2 linked regions of the Tamandua tetradactyla genome follow. The protein of the gene in region 1 purifies or fractionates together with the protein of each later gene. This does not show direct contact. Links are inferred from orthologs where the notes say so. Each region holds a gene or a part of one and is shown in the gene's direction. Other genes may lie near its edges.

Region 1 (8,378 bases):
GTAGTTACTCCAAATCCTTGTCAACCCTTGTTACTTTTCTGCTTTTTTGTTGTTGATATTTTTATTCTAGTAATCCTCATAGGTAAGTAGTATCTCCTTGTTGTTCCAATTTGCATTTCAATAATGATGTTGGACATCTTATCATGTGTTTCTTATCCATCTTTAGGTTACAGCACTGTCTATTCAGATCCACTGCCCATTTTTAGAACTGTCTTTTCACTGATGTTCAACAATGTTTTGTTTTCAGTGTTCAGTTCTTGCATTTCTCAGGTTAAATTTATTTGTAAATCTTTTATTCTTTTTGATATTTTTGTAAATGGAATTTTCTTAATTTCCTTTATAGTTGTCCATTGCTAGTGTTTGGAAATACAACTCATTTTTTATACATTGCCTTGTATCCTGCAACCTTACTGAACTAGTTTATTAGTTTGAATAGTTCTTTAAAAAGGATTACTTAGTTTTCTATATGCAAGATCATGTTATCTACGTGATAATTTCATGCCTTCCATTTCTATCTGGATGCCCTTTATTTCTTTTTCTGGTCTGTCCCTGGCTAGCCCGTCCAGTACAATGTTGAATAGATTATACTGTTGAATAGGTGAAAGGATATGCTTATTTCCCTTCTACTTAATACAAAAATGAGCTCAAACTGAATCAAAGGTCTAAATGAATAGCATAAACCAAAACTACAAGGCATAGAAGAAAGTATTCATGACCTGGGGTAGGCAAAGAGTTCTTAGACATGACCCAAAATGCATGATTCACAAATGGAAAAAAAATGGTATGTTGAACTTTATCAAAATTAAAAAATTTGCTCTGCAGGTGGCACTGTTTACAGAATGAAAAAACCAAACTACACACTGGGAGGAAAATGCCTTCAAATCATGTATCTGATAGAGGACATAAAATTAGACTACATAAAGTACTATCAGAACTCAACAATAAGAAAACAACCTGACTGAAAAATGGGCAACAACTAAACTAAAACTCAGGTTACAAAAAGGATAAATGAATGGAAAATATGCACAGGAAAAGATGTCTAACATTTTAAGGGCTAAAATGAAACCAGGATGAGATCCATTACACACCTTTTAGAATGAATTAAATAAAAAATACTGAGTATACCCAAGTGATGGTGAGGATGCAGAGCTCTCATGCATTGCTGACAGGAATGCAAACAAGATTCAGCCACTCTGGAAAACAGTTTGGCAATTTCTTATAAAGTTCAACATATACCCACAATGGTACCCAACAATCCCACTCCTGGGTTTTTATTCTAGAACAAGGATTAGCAAAATTTTTCTTTTAAGGGTCAGATAGTAAATGTCTTAGGTTTGCTGGCCATAGTTCTCTGTCACAATTACTCAACTCCTGTCACTGCATTGTAAAAGCAGGTGGCCAGCCCACAGGCCATATGCTGACTCTTACCCTAGAGAAATGAACATCTGTGCTTGTTGAGAAACGTATAGATGGTAAGTGTTCATAGCAACTCTAGGCATAATCAACAAAAAGTGGTAACAACCCAAATGTCTTGCAACTGGAAAATGGGTAACAAAACTGTGGTAGGTCCACAAAAAAAGATTACTGATACAATGCAACAATTTGTAGAGATTTCAAAGGTATTATGCTGAGTAAAAGATGCCACTCTCAAAAGGTTAAATATGATTCTATTCCATTTTTATGACATTCTTGAAAAGTTGAAAAGACAAAACTACAGTGTGGAGAAATGACCAGTGTTAAGGGGTGAATGGAGAGTATGACTACAAAGGGATTACATGAATGAGTTTTGGGGGGATGACAGAGCTGTCCTGATTCCTGACTGTGGTAGTGGACACATAAATCTATACATGTCTTAATAGTCATAGAACTATCTGCCCAAAAAAGGGACAATTTTTCTACATGATATTTTACCAAAGACACCAAGGTAAGTTCTATTAGAAAAGTAACCAAAACTTTGTACGTCCATTTCCTTACCACTTAATCTATCCTTAACCATGGGCAGTCTGGATTTTGCCTGCACCATTTTTTTTCAAAAGTGAACTTTTAGGAACCAAGGGTGAAGAGTTTAAATTTTAATTAAAATTAAAATTTTACAAAATGATATTTGATTAAGCTATTGGAAAACATTGAAGTATGTTTAGAACAACTTGGGTATGTGAATCTATTTTTTCAACCCTAAATTTTATGAAATAGAAATACAGATCAAGCATTTCTTATGAAAGTTTAGTGTCTGATTTGAGATGTCCTGCAAATGTAAAATGCACATCAAATCTTAAAGGCTTAGTACAAAAAAAGAATGTAAAATAGCTCATGGATAATGTGTTTATATCAATTATATGTTGAAATTACATTTTGAATATATTAGGTTGAAAAAAGATTAAAATTAATTTCTCCTGTTCCCTTTTACTTTTTTAAATGTGGCTACTAGAACATTTTAATTACGTATTAGGTCATATTATATTTCTGTTAGCACTGATAGAGGGGATTCCATTTCCCACAAATACATACTAACAAAGGTATATCATACAGATATATACACATATATCCCCTAATTCATGATTTTGTACAAATTTTTCCCCATATGGTTTCAGGCAGCATTGTGCTATCCTGTGATAGTTCCAAATCCTTCCTCAATTTATGTGTGAAAAGGCCCCTTCTGTACATAAAGCAGTTTAGATGGTATGGATATCAAGAGCAGAATGTGTAGGAGCTTCTAATTTCAGAGATGCAGTCAAAGCAAAAGTTTAAAATGAAAACAAGTTAATTATGTGCAAGTACATAATTGTCAGTAGTAATTTGCAGTCATTTGGTTCCTTTTGTTTTTGAGATTTTTTTGTGAACATTTTTAACCTCATCAATTCTAAGTTCAAAAGCCATGAGAGCATTGAAAAGTGCATTATAGTAAGCAGTAGTTAAGGATTCCTATATGATCATACAAATTTGGAGTGCTGAGAAAACGACAGGACAAATTGACAGTATGAATGAGCTGAAGAAGAAAGGAATCATGTGATACATGAAAGATACTGTGTCTATGCAATGGATGGTAACCAGCAACAAGGTAGAGGTGCTTAAGGAGAAGGAAAAACTCCTAAGTTCGATCAGCACCAATATTGGATGATTATTAGCTCAATGTTAATTCAGAAGTCATCAGGAGATTAATCAGGTAAAACTGCTGCTGCTGAAAAATGTCCTAAGTCAGGTTTTTATGGATTCATGCTTCATTCAAATTGATGCACAGCATCAAAATGACTAAAGGAGCAGTTAAGAGAGAACATTACAACCAGGTGTGTGACTTGGGGGAAAGGATAATTCTGTGTCAGAACAGGTTTGGATGGAACTGGTCTATGTTGAGGAAGGAACAGACATCATGAAGAAGAGTGCCTATTTCTAAAGCCCAGAAGAACAGACTCATACTTGATGAAATTGGGTTTTGAAGCTTAATAAACCTACTCAAGGAAAGCATTTGAGTTCCTCAAGAAGGTTCCCTCTTTGGTCAACTTCTTTTCAGTATTTTAAGCAGATTAATCGTTCTTATTTTACTTGGAAAGGGTGCTCGGCAAGTTGCTTTCCTGCTCACTCCTTTGGCTTCCTAATTTGTTAAACTGAGGATGATAATGTATAGTAGTGCCGCTCACAAAGCGGTTGGGGGGATTAAATAAACTAATACATATGAAGCGCTACGAAAAGGGCATGGAACACAGTGCTTAGTTGTTAGCTATGGGTGTTCTTACTAACACTTTCCAAGGCAAATTCATGCTTTTAACTGTCACCTGAGGCTCATGAGCTCCAAGCCAGGTACCAAGTCCACCCTGAATCTTTGACCTACCATTTCTTCTACCTACCAGGCATCTTCAACAGGATATATATAACTGATATCTCAACTGAAATGAATCAATTACTTAAAATACCATCTTCCATTCCAAACCAGATTCTAGTTTATACTATTCTTAATGCACCTCAGTCAGTCTAGAAGCCTCCCAGCAATCTTTTCCTTTTCCCTCATATGCATTCAATATGATCGAAACAAAACAAAACGAAATGCTATTTTTCCATCTTTATAAAAGGTAATACTTGTTCGTTATAGAAACCTTGGAAAATATGGAAAAACCATAAGAATAAAAATTACCCATGCCAAATCTTGTTATAAATGTGAACATATTTCCTGTTTGATATTTTCCCACAAACTCAAGACCCCACGGTGTACACAGACATGCTCGAAGCGTAAAAATGTCTTCACCCCTGAAAACGCCGGCTTTGATCTAAAATTTAAAAATTCAAATTCCAAAAGTACACACTATTGACGATTTGAAATATACAGATGACGTTAACATCTTGAAATTTTTATGTACCCTGTTCTAATGAAATATGCATAAATTTTAGGGCTTTTTATAAAGTTTTCAACAAAAATCAACATCGTCTAAAACAAAGTATTCGAGGCCTACCTTTCAATCACACACCTACAAAATTTCTCAAGCTTTTAAAAACTGTATGCTTCGGATACACAGGTGTCCAACACAAAAGACTGCTCCAATTGAAAGGTTCACCAAAATGGTATGAGTGCTTTTTCCTTCCACACAAATGTGTAATTAAGAAGAAAGGGACAAAACGTTAAAAAAGACCTTTGGTAAATTGATATTTCAATTTGGTTAATATTCCTTGACTCATTTGTGGTATTGAATGTTTTTCCTGTTCCTCATCCTCAGGAAGCCCTGGCGGAGAAAGCCCAAACCTGCAACCGGTTTTAGAGGGCGGTGAGCAAAGAACACCGGGAAGTGGCGTAACTGCACCAACTCCGGACAAAACCCCAGAAACCAGACGCGACTCGGGCAGTGCGTGGTGGGGGGAGCCGGCGAGGCGCACCGCCCCAACGCGCCACCGTCGTCGGCGTGGCGCACAGTGCTGATGCAACACGCACGTACGTCATGCCGCTCTTCAGTCGGCGACGGCGCTGCGTCACGGCTTTTAGGCGCTTTGCTCCTTGAGCCTGCCGGTCGCTGTGGGCCCCAGTGTCGGCCTTCCGCGTACCGGGAGCTCGGACGTCGGCGCAATGAGGCGCAGCAAGGCCGACGTGGAGCGGTACATCGCCTCCGTGCAGGGCTCCGTTCCGTCGCCCCGAGAGGTGAGTGAGTGCTCAAGAGAGGGGTGGATCTGGCCCTGGGCCAGCGGAGGCCCCGATGCCCGGCACTGGCGCCGGCCTAATGGCTCCCTGCCGGCTGCTGCTTACCTCGTTCCGTTGAGGCGCTAGCCGGCCAGCGCGGTCCCGTGGGTTGCGTGGCGCTCGAGAGCGTGCGGGGCGGGGGAGGCGCGTGTGGGAGGGGCGCAGGGCTCGGGAACCGCGCGCGCGGGGCCCAGCGGCCAGCGAGCGGCCGTTGGCATCAGAGCTTCCTCTTCTTCCTGGTCGGCTCCCGACCGACCTATCTGGCGGGCCCACCAGGCTCGGGTTTCTCGGCAGCTCGCGCACCGTTTATGGCCCGCGCGTCCTCCACCACTCCCATGCTTGGAAGTGGAACCCAGTACTGACGCAGTTTGAGGGTGGGCATTTACTACTGAGACAGGTGATCGTCGTAGTCACCTAACGGAACGGAGCATGGAAAGCCACATTTGCAAGTGCTTGACACACAGCGCAAATGAGACTGAATTCCCCTGGCTTGAGGCGTCCGGCGCTGTATTTATAAGGGTCCTGACCCTCCTTCTGTTGTCCCCCCCTCCCCACCAGGACTCTCTGGAAGCGTCTTTTTTTTTTGCCACTCTACACACACAAACACACACACACACACGTTCCTCGCGAATTCTAAATTTCTAATAGGACGTTGTTACTTACTCTGGTTAAAAATTTTAACCCATTTCCTTAACGTGCTTTTACGGTATTTTTCTTCTTTTAAGGTAAATAATGTGCTAAATATATTTTGGATTCGGCAGAACTTTAGTGATTGGATGTGGAGAGTGAGGAAAAAGGTATTACATGTGGGCTTGCACAAGATCTGGAGTCATTTTACCTGGATTTGGGACAAGTTAAACTGTTTTCTCTTAATAAGGTGGAGGTGCAGCATTGATAGGATAAGATAGGGTGATGCATGTTAGTGCTTGTGCATAGAAGGGCTAATTACGTGTTTGCTGGAATTTATTTTTATTGTTAATGTTGAAAGGAGTTTTAAAAAAAACAAGAAAACGCATGAATGATTGATTATAATAGCAATATAATCTTATTCTACATCCCAGATATTTTTCTTGTTTAGTGTCCCAACAACTGCAGATGCATATCAGGAGGTACTTGTGTAAGGTTTCATAGGTGACTGCAGGATTTTGACATGGGCCAGGTTTATTTTAATTTAGGAACAGTGGATTACGTTATATCCTGTTCCTCAGGAGGGGAGAAATAAGTACCTCTCTACAGATTATTTCAACTGCTTACGTAGACATAAATGTAAGTGTGGTAGTAGAGTGTAGAAGAATCTTAAGGGTTTTTGTACCCTTAGAGTGATGTGACTTGCTTTTTAAACATTTTTTATTTTGAAATATAATGTATATACAAAACAATAAATTTCAAAGTATATTTTAACAGTTATAGAACAGATTTCAAAGTTTGTTATGAGTTACAGTTCCACGACTTCAGGTTTTTCCTTCTAGCTGCTCCAAGACATTGGAGACTAGAAAGAAATAGCAATATAATGATTCATAGTCATACTCATTTGTTAAATTCTAACTTTTCTGTTATAACTCCTCCTTTGATCCTTCTCCCCCCAATGTTTAGGGGTATTTGGGTTATGCCATTCTAACTTTTTTCGTCTTGAAAAGGGGTGTCGACAGCGTGGGATGGGGGATGTAATGGGTTGATGTTCTTGGAGAAATGGCATCTCTGGGTTTCAGAATTTATCTGACCAAGGAACCATACGAAGTTTTTAGATTTCTGAAAAGTAAACTTACTGTGTGCAACTTTTGTAGGATCTCAGATAGAGCCCTGGGTGTTCTTTAGGCTTAACAGGAATGATGTTGGTTGGGGCTTGGCACATCTTGGTAATTAGCAATACCTAGCTGAAGCTTGCATAAGAGTAGTCTGCAGAATGTCTCTGGGCTCTGTTTGAACCCTCTTATCCACTGCTATTTTATTTTGTTACATTTAAGCCCTTTTGGTCAGAAAGGCATTGTCCATTCCACCATCCAGGGCCAGGCTCATCCCTGGGAGTCATATCCCACATTGCCAGGGAGATTCGCAGCTGTGGATGAATATGATTTTTTTTTTTAAAGCAGATTTAGAGCATTGATCAGATTATCTATGGGGACCCTGGCTCCCAAAAGAATGACTAGTCTAGACAGAAGTTAGAATGACATAGGGAATGTTCTTTCAGCTACCTGACTTTTTCATCAAATAAAATAAGGGTGGTGCACAGTTTTAAGGATTTATTATTGTGGTCACATATCTCTTACCCTTGAAGAGTATCCTTTTTTTTTTTTTTAACTTTTTATTTTTAAATACTTTCAAACCTAAGAGAACAGTTAACATAAATAATACGAACTCCATAAAGGGAACTCTGATATACTCCTATTTCCCAGATACTCTTACCCACCAATTTTAAATTTTGTCACATTTGAACATTGGCTAGGATTAATCACATTCACATTATTGCAGTGCCTTTACCGCATTACGTTACTAAAACTTTCCCATCTCTCTAAACAGAAGCCCTTAACCTATTGTGCATCAACTCCCATTCCATTTATCTCCCACCCTGGCAACCTGTATTCTAATTTCTGGCTGTGTGAATTTTCATGTTCTCTGATACTTTTTTTGTAGTTGCCACAGGACTTAAATTTAACATAGAAAATCTATAATAATCTTGTTTGCTTAGATACCAACTTAACTCCATTAGTGTACACTATGTTACTATACTTCTCAGTCCCCCCGCCTTTATGAGTCCAAACTGCTGATTTCTCATGACATTTTATGCATTTGCCTTTTAGCTCCTGTAGGAAGTAAAAAGTGGAGTTACAAATGGTACTAGCATTTATATTTACTCATGTCACTGCCCTCACCAGAGCCATTTGTATCTTCATGTGGCTTCACGCTATTGTCCTTTCCTTTCCACCTGCAGACTGGGTTTAGTATTTCTTATAGGGCCAGTCTAGTGGAAACAAACTCCCTTAGGTTTTATCTGGAAGTATCTTATGCTCTTCTCTCACTTTTGAAAAACAGCTTTGCTGAATATAGAATCCTTTTTTGCTTTCAGAACTTGAAAGATGTCATTCTGTTACCTTCTTGCCTCCATGGTTTCTGTTGAGAAATTGGCACTTATCTTATTAGGTTGACACGTTCATTTTCTCTTGGATTCTGTTTTTATATTTGGCGTTCAACAGTTTAATTACAACATATCATGGGATGAGTC
Region 2 (8,367 bases), on another chromosome or scaffold:
GCTGAGAGGGCCACCAATGCCCAGGAGCTCAGCTTCCATTAGCAGGGAAGGAGTGGGGCAACCAGGAGCAGGCAGCCAAGAGTGTCTGCTATGCCCCTGTGGCTTTTCTCTCCCTTGAATATATCAGAATCTTCTGGAAAGTTTGTGAAAAATAAAACTCCTCAGGTCTCCCTTTGGAGGTTGTGTTTCACTTTGAGCAAGGGCCCGAAACCCGTTTTTGACAAGAGCGCCAACAGACCCAGAGACATTATCCACATCCCCTGTCAAGGAGGGAATCCCTGCCCAGCTGCCAGAGTGTGGTGGACAGTAGCCTCCAGCTGTAAGCTCCCTCAGGGTTGGTTGTGGCTGCCGGACCCACCCTGCTTGAGAACATGTTCTTCCCAGGTGGCCCACACATGAGTGGGCCTGGGGCAAAAGACCTGGTCAGTTGGCTGATGCAGAACCATCAAGATTTCATACCAGGCAAGATTTCACTCCAGAGCGGGGGTTTGTCAGCAAACTGGCTCTTGGGGAAAACAAAACAAGACCAAAAACTTAATCTGTAATGTCTGCTGATTTATGTGGTATAAATAAATCATACCACATGTAGCTGACTTCAAGTTCCCAGCGGTTTAGCAACCAGCTGGCAAAATTCCTGAAGATGTAACAATGGCTCCTCCTGAACCTGTTGAGCTGAGCTGGCCAGGCCCACCCCTGGCACCTGGGTTCCTGAAAGGTTGGCAGCAGCCTGGTCAGGCCATCTCGCGGCTTTCCCTTTCCTGTCACAGGTCTTGATCCCCAATCAATGTTTCTACCCAAACCTTCTCTCAACAGCTGCTTCCCATTTCTGGAGAACAAGGCCTGTGTGTGCCAGCCACCATTAGCTCACTGGGGCAGATGAGCTTACCTCTGCCTCCCTCTATAATGAGCTCCTTGAGGGCAGGGCTGGGTGCTGCTGCTCCCCAGGGAAGGGTGGGAGCTGAGGTCAGACCTAGGTTTGGACAAGCCCCAAGTCATTTTTGGTCAACACTGGCTTGGAAACTGATGACTCACATGTTTTGTTATGACAGAGTTTTATGATCTGATGTAATCCACCTCCTCTTCCTTGCCTCCCAATGCATATGCACATGTACACACACATTCTGTCGTGCTTGGCTGTCCAGAATTCACCATTCTACCCTCTCTTCCTCTAATGCCACACTGATCCACGATCCCACGACTTTGTCTCTCTGGGTCCTTCATTCTGGAATGCTCTTCTTCAACTTCCAACAGGGCAAACAGGTGCCCACCCTTCAGGAGCCAGCCCACTTGTCACCCACTCCATGTCTCCTCGGTCCTCTAGACCCAACATCTATTGCAGGCTCCTGTGCGCACTGTGTTCTGACACCTTCAGCTCATGGAGACAGACTTGGTCACTCACATCAGTCCAATTTGATTAGGACAATGGACTGGAAAGCCAAGGTGGTGAGGGAGTGAGCCCCATGGGCCTCTGAGGAAGAGGTTTCAGGCAGAGGGAAGAGGAAAGACCCTTGCTGGAAGTACTGCAGGGAGACTAGGTGGCCAGAGGGTAGTGAGAGAGGTCAGAGGGGGAGAGTCAGCACACTGCACAGGGCCTTGGAGACCACTGTAATGGACTGCCTCTGACTCTAGGAGGGATGTGGCCTGACTGGGGTCTAAAGAGCTCCTCTACTGTTGTTTAGACGGTAGACCTGGGTGGGGTATGAGGACAGGGAGGCCAGTGAGGTGACAGCATCAGCTCAGGCAGGTGACATGGCTTGCATGGAGCATGGGAAAAGGGTGTGAATTGAGGTCTGTTCTGAAACTTGGGCAGATAGCCCTTGCTGGCAGACTGGGAGAGGAGTGTGAGAAGCAGGAAATCAAAGGCGATACCAAGGGTTTTGCCCTGAGACTTTCTCCTTCCTGAAACATGAGATAGTTCCCACCTTTCTGAGGGTGGTGAGGACAAAATGATGCATGTTGAGCACCTGGTGATGTTGGGTGTCCAGGAGGAGCCCAGTAATGGGTGACCCATTCACGACCTGATGGATATGGAGCAGCTCTGCTTCTGGTCCCTGCAAGTCCCCCCTCCTTCTGGCAGCTTTTGACTGGCCAACACCTGTGCATTCTCTGGGGCTCCACCAGGTGTTCACCACCTCAGGGAAGCCTTTCCTGATGCACCCCTTTCCCTCCCCTCCCATCACATACATCATGGCTTCCAGCCTCCTTTCTCAGAGGTCTAACCTAGATAGCAGAGCAGCTTTCTCTCCTGCTTGAAGGATGTTCCGGATCGTAGCGACAGGTCTCTGTGCCTCCACAGAGTCCCTGTCTGTAGACTGAATGTGTGAGGCCTCCCCCACTTTCTTCTATCACTACCCTGTCTCCAAGGTTAAAGCTCTTGTGATCCGTCCTTGCACCATCTGCCCTCTGTATGAAGGCAGGATGGGGGAAGGGGCACCCAAGTCAGCCCAGTCTGGTCAGATCTGGGCATTGCCACCGAGGCTCTCTGACTTGGGTCAGTCAATGACTCATGGAGTTTCAGTCCGTCCTACATTAGACATTTGCTCAAACAAGTCTTGTTCCTTCTCCTTTTCCCTAGGATCTCCCATGAACAACAATCCCAGTTTCCCAGGACATGGGTTAAAACCAGGATAGTCCCAGCACACTGGAACCACTGGTCAACCTACTTCTATCATGATTGAACTCCTTAAACATTAAAATAATTAAAAATTATTTTTAATTTCACAAGTGAAAATACGATATATTCTTCCCATAGAAATAGAGCATGTTTAAACAACTAAAAGAAATCAGTTTCCCTTGGAGAAATGGTTGATTCCAGGTCTGGGACATGGAAGTATATGATCCTGTGATGTGGGCCAGAAAGGAAATCTCAAAAGAGATGACATATTGAAAGGATAGAGCAGCAAGCTACATCTGGGGTTACTGGAGCACCAGGGCAGATAAGGAGAGTAGTGGCTTGCAACCCAATGGGTAAAATAGGAATCCTTGAATCCATATCAATGATGAATGGATGAAAAGGAACACATCTACCCTACAGTACAAAGCCAACTAATAAACGGAGAAGCAACGATGGAAATAGAAAAGCAACTAGTATGGTAATAGTTCAGTCAAGAAATATCAACTAATGGTAAAACTAGTGGGTAAAAGAAGAGTAACAGAATATTTGCATAGCTTCAGTGTCTTCTTCCATGATTCTAACTACAAAGAGAAAAATCCTAACTCGACAGGGGAGAAACCCAGCAGATGCCACCTTAACTAAGGTGATGTCAATTACCACCACCAATGGGACAAAATGAAGGCTATGCAGTCCACGTAGGATGTACCGAGCCTCACTCCTGAGATATTCCTGCCAGTCACACAACCTAAATCGTTCCAGGGGGATATATGTGACAAGCACAAATAGAGAGCCAGGGTGCAAACAGCTGGCCTATATTCCTCAGAATGGTCAAGGTCATGAAAGAGAAAGACCGAGAGAGCCTTCCAGATTAGAGCTTAAAGAAGCATGCCAAAGGAGTGCCACCCATGATTCGAAATCGGACCCTGGACAGAAAAAAAAGGTGCCATAAAGGGCAGTACTGGAACACCAAGGAAACCGGAACACAGACTGTAGAGTAGAGGATGGCATCCGTCAGTGTTAAATATCCCCAACTCGTCCTTACGGTGGTTACGTCTTTATTCTCAGCAAGTACCCCCTCAAGTATTTAGGGGTGACACGAGAAAGCAGTTGGAGCTAACGTCCCCTCCAGTCCTACACGCCCCCCTTCTGCCAACCTGTCATCATTTTGGCGTGCGCTCTTGCGGTCGCTGTTCTCAACATTCACGTCCATCCTCCTTCCCACAGAATACGGCTAACCCCGTCTTTTCTGGGAATCCAGAAACCTGACACCGGACCCTCTATTCTTCCCCACTCCAAACGCCCACCTCCTCCATCTTAACGCAGTGGGGCGCTTCTCCTTTCCGCCGCGCGGCTGGGGCCGGTGTCGGACCTCCAGAAACCGCGCGCCGCGCCGACCGTCCCCGCGCGGGCGGAGGTTTCCTCCGAGAGGGCTCCAGGCGCTCCCCACAATTCCTTAAAAACCCCAGAGCCGGTAACTCTCCTCCACCAGAACCTCCAGGACCCGACGGGAAAGCTCAGAGCGGCTGGGCCACTCGCCCGAGGGTGTACAGCCGCTGTGCGGGCGCCTCGGCCGGGGCCCCTCCGCCCGCTGGCATGGCCTCCGGGCCGCCCTCCGCCACGGAGGGTCCCGACAACCGCACCGGGCAACGTTCGAGGGCCCCGGCCGCCGTGCCCGCGAGGACCGGAAGGCCCGGGCGGCCGCGGGGCGCGCCGGCGTCTGCGCCGCTGTGACGTCGACGGCGCGGACCAATCGTGGCGGCGGGAGGGGGCGTGGCGGGGCAGCGCGGGGCACGCCGGGGCGAGTAGTCGGCGCGCGGCGGGACTCCAGCCCCCATCATCCCCCGGGCGGCGGCGGCGGCGAGCAGGACGGCGGAGCGACCGCGGCCCGGGGCGGCCGTCGGGGATGGGCGGCGGCGGCGGCGGCTGGTGAGCGCGGCGCGAGCGCGGCCCCTGGCCTGCCGGAGCCCCCGCCATGTCGGCGCCCTCGGAGGAGGAGGAGTACGCGCGGCTGGTCATGGAGGCGCAGCCCGAATGGCTGCGCGCCGAGGTGAAGCGGCTCTCCCACGAGCTGGCCGAGACCACGCGCGAGAAGATTCAGGCGGCCGAGTACGGGCTGGCGGTGCTCGAGGAGAAGCACCAGCTCAAGCTGCAGTTCGAGGAGCTCGAGGTGGACTACGAGGCCATCCGCGGCGAGATGGAGCAGCTCAAAGAGGTGAGCGCCCCGCCGCCCCCGGGCCGGCCGCCGCCACGCCCGCCCGCGGGCCCCGCCCGGCTCGGACCCCTGCCTCTGACCCGACCCGCGAGCCTGGCTGGCGCGGGGGAGCCCGGGACTCAGCCAGGCCGGCTTCCGTGGGGCCGAGAGGGAGGTGGCCGCCGCCCAAGGTCACCCTTCCTTTGGCACCGGGAGATGGAAGAGGGGCCCTGATAGTGGAAGAACCTCGCCCCTCCCTCGCCCCTGCGATTGGGGCGGCGAGGACCGCTGCTGGACCCTGGGGATCCCGCTTCCGGGCGCTTCCCCTCCTATCCCGGCCCCTCCCAGCCACCCGCTCCCAAGACCGTGAGGAATGGCAGGACCAGTCCCCGAGTGACCGGGGGGAGGGGGGCACCGGCTGGGCTCCCCTTGCCTGCAGCTGGCCCACTCGCGGGAGAATGCCAGCCCAGTGGCTTCCTGCAAGCCGGGCAGGCGGGTCCTACGGCATCATAGACGGGACATGTGGGATCAGATCTTGACCTCCGCGAGCAAAGGCAGCCTGCCTTTATCTGGGTGGCAGGGTCTCTGGTGGCGGTTTTATAAGGTGGGGGTAATAGCCTCTGCAGTGCTTTGACCAGCGGGGAAAGGCTAGGCCTGGGTCTGTGTGGCCGCTAGACAAATCACTTTCCTTCTCTTTTAGCATGGTTTCAGCGTCTTGCTGGCTCTGAGTCCAGGAAAGGCCCTGGACAGAGACCTTAGGAAGTCAGTGACTTGGTTTTGCACATGGCTGCTGCGGCTGGCTGGGGACTGTCCAGTGTCCCCTCCCCAAGCCCAGCTCTCTAACCAGGTGCTCTCTCTTCAGTGCTGTGATTGCTTCTCCCACCAGCTGGAATGTATTGCCTCTATCGCTCACTTCCTGTCCTTAGCCCCCCCTCCTAAAGCCCTTCCTTATTGTGTCGCCCAGAAGGCCTCAGCAAATGTGCTAGCAGGTCTGTGGGTGCTTTTGTGGGGCTGTTTCCTGTTGAATTTTGACTTTGGGCATTAGGAGATTAGCTTCCTAAGCTGCCTCAGGTTTTTTCATAAAGAGGGAGCTGTTAGGGGCTTCTAGGAAAGGTATCTGAGTTGAACTAGGCAATCTGTTGCTTGCAGTAGTTAGGCAGTAATTCTCCTGGGGTGATTTAAATACAAGTTTCTGTCCCATCCCCCACCCCTCTCAATCTTAAACCCTAAAGCAGGGTTGCTTTCTGGATAGATGTGCTGGTTTGGACCCGGACCCTGCCCCTCCCTGGCTAGTGATGTGGCTGTGGGCAGGGCACTCCCTAAGACTTGATTTCTGTCTCTGCAAACTAGGGGTGCAACATTGCCCAGCCAGAAAGGGTTCTGTGAGGATTGTATGTTTGGAAAAGTCTGGCAGGGTATCAGATGTGGAGTGGGGTGTTTCTGTGACCTGTCGGTGTCTCTGACAGTATGTGCTCCTTGCTCTCTTCGCGCTGGACTACTCTCCCTTGTCCAGTGGGGCTTTTGGCTGCTGGCTCCCAGGTCTCAGGGACCCACTGTGCTTACTGCTTCCACAGCTGCTCACTACTCCCCCACCCCCCAGTCCCTCTGCTCCCAGCCGGACTTGAGCAGTTGCCTTGACGGCTTGGAGTCTCTCTTGCTTCGCTCTCCAGTAGGATCTCTACAGCTGCGGAGAGGAGTAAACATGTTAATCCAAAAAAGCACGTAGAACACTGCGTGGCTGCATGGGTACTAGTTAGCACTGGTGAGTGACTGACTGAGGGGCAGACTGGGAGCAGGGCTCCTCCCACTCCTCCCTCCCTTTCAGCTTTGCCACACTGGCTGTCCGCCCGGCGGCTCTTGGTCATCTGTCTCCGGGGCGTTGGCGCCGCCTTCGAGCCAGCCTGGCTGGAACGTCTGGTGTGGTCCCTCCTGCACGAGTGCCGTACAGAGGAAGAGAAACCCTAACAGTTGGAGTGCAGGGTGGGGTCAGAGCTGCCACGGAGGGGGCTGGGGGCTGCGAGCACACGGCTGAGGCCCCACTTGTGGTCTTCCAGTGATGGGACTCCCCCTTCTCCCTGCAGACAGCTGCTAGAAAGCTCTCCCTGGGGCCTCATGTCTTCCCTCTACATGCCCAGCGAGCAGGCCCAGTGGTGGTTCCGAGCCAGACTGCCCTTCCCTGGGGTGCGTGGTCGAGCCCCTCCCAGGCACCACAAACGTGTCTCCTTCGTGCCTCCAAGTGCTCGTGTCCACTGTCCCCGATAAGCGTCTGCTCTCGTTGACTGAACTAGTTCCCACTTCTGGCATTTCCGTTGTTGTCAGCTCTTTCATATTGTAAACACAAACATTTTGGCACAACACAAGAATTTTGGCTTAATTTGGGGGCGTGTGTCTGGAGGGTAGGGCCTTAGCAGAGTGAGGAGGAGCGTGTCCCAGAGTTCCCGCAGGTGTTTGTGTTCTTCAGCCACCTGCTTGGGCCTGAGCACTGCCTCCTGGCTTTCTGCTTACTCTCCATGTGACGTTGGATAGTTGCTTCCCCATTCGGAACTTCAGTTTCTGCCTTTGTGAGGTGGGGCTTAGAAAGTTTCCACTGGAAGTCCCTCCTGGCATCTGGGGGGATGTCTATCAGAGTCTCAGAGTGATGCTAGAAAGTGTGCCCCAGTTCACCCACCCTCGACAGTGTACAAGGGCCATCTTGCTCGTTCCTGTGCCAACACCTGGTAGTGCCAGCTCATTTAATTTTGGCCAGTGCTATAGTTGAAAATCCCAACTCTCACTTTGAGAGTCAAGATTTAAGGGCCATTTTTGTTAGGACCTTTTATTTTTTCTCCCTGGAGAGAGGTGAACCATCTTAATTTTTTTTAAAATTATATCTGGAGTTAAAGTTGGGGTTTGGTTATTAACAGATTATTCTCCAGTGGAATTGCTTCTACTCTGGCCAGCATTTGCAAATAATCCAGTTTTTGAGGAAGAGAAGTTGGCTGGCTGGTCTCAGGGTATTGGTGTTATGTGCAGAGCTGAAGAGGGCCCTGTGGCGGATGAGTGGGAGGCCATGGTCCAGTCCCACAGTCTGGTCTCTTTGGTGGGGGGTTAGCCTGTCCTCAGAGGTATCACCTTGCCAGCATGGGCATTGACTGGCCAGTGAGGAGCCTGTGCCCACGGGCTCATTTTGCTAATGATGCAGATGTCTGGTCCAGCCTCATCCCTGAGAGTTTGGGTCTCAGTCCCCTCACTGGCTTTTACTGTGTCACCGTGGGAGGTGGCTGACCTTTTGGGGCGCCAGTTTCCTTCTTTGTGAGGGGGGATGAGGTGGTACCTCCCACAGGAGACTGCAGGTAGAGTTAGGTGAAGGATGGCCTGTCAAGGGCTGGGCACGCTTGGACCCTTAGTGAGGGCTTAGTAATGTCTTATGCTAGCTCAGTGGTCTCGCTCTTTGCCCCGGCCTCACTGCTGCGCCTGCAGCCCCTTTCCGTTCCAGTCAGCACTGCTGCTGCCCTTTGTCCCTTGCTCAGTCTTCGGTGGCTCCCTGTGGCCGTCTCCCAGCTTCCCAGCTTGATGCCCAGGG

Evidence for each region. Proteins that work in one complex are often made in the same cells at the same time.
Region 2: the proteins of E3 SUMO-protein ligase RanBP2 (region 1) and BICD2 purify together in Homo sapiens (affinity purification with western blotting; 3 studies listed by BioGRID and IntAct, with this or other methods). This does not show direct contact. The link is inferred for Tamandua tetradactyla from reciprocal best matches to the Homo sapiens genes RANBP2 and BICD2.

Annotation. Positions count from the first base shown.
Region 1 is NC_135343.1:73,416,474-73,424,851, forward strand, and holds the start of E3 SUMO-protein ligase RanBP2, read left to right. Parts: upstream 1-4,942; 5' UTR 4,943-5,047; coding exon 5,048-5,119; intron 5,120-5,224; exon of another isoform or gene 5,225-5,300; intron 5,301-8,378. UniProt on the Homo sapiens protein: E3 SUMO-protein ligase which facilitates SUMO1 and SUMO2 conjugation by UBE2I. Involved in transport factor (Ran-GTP, karyopherin)-mediated protein import via the F-G repeat-containing domain which acts as a docking site for substrates.
Region 2 is NC_135328.1:2,423,679-2,432,045, forward strand, and holds the start of BICD2 (protein bicaudal D homolog 2), read left to right. Parts: upstream 1-4,569; 5' UTR 4,570-4,586; coding exon 4,587-4,826; intron 4,827-8,367. UniProt on the Homo sapiens protein: Acts as an adapter protein linking the dynein motor complex to various cargos and converts dynein from a non-processive to a highly processive motor in the presence of dynactin.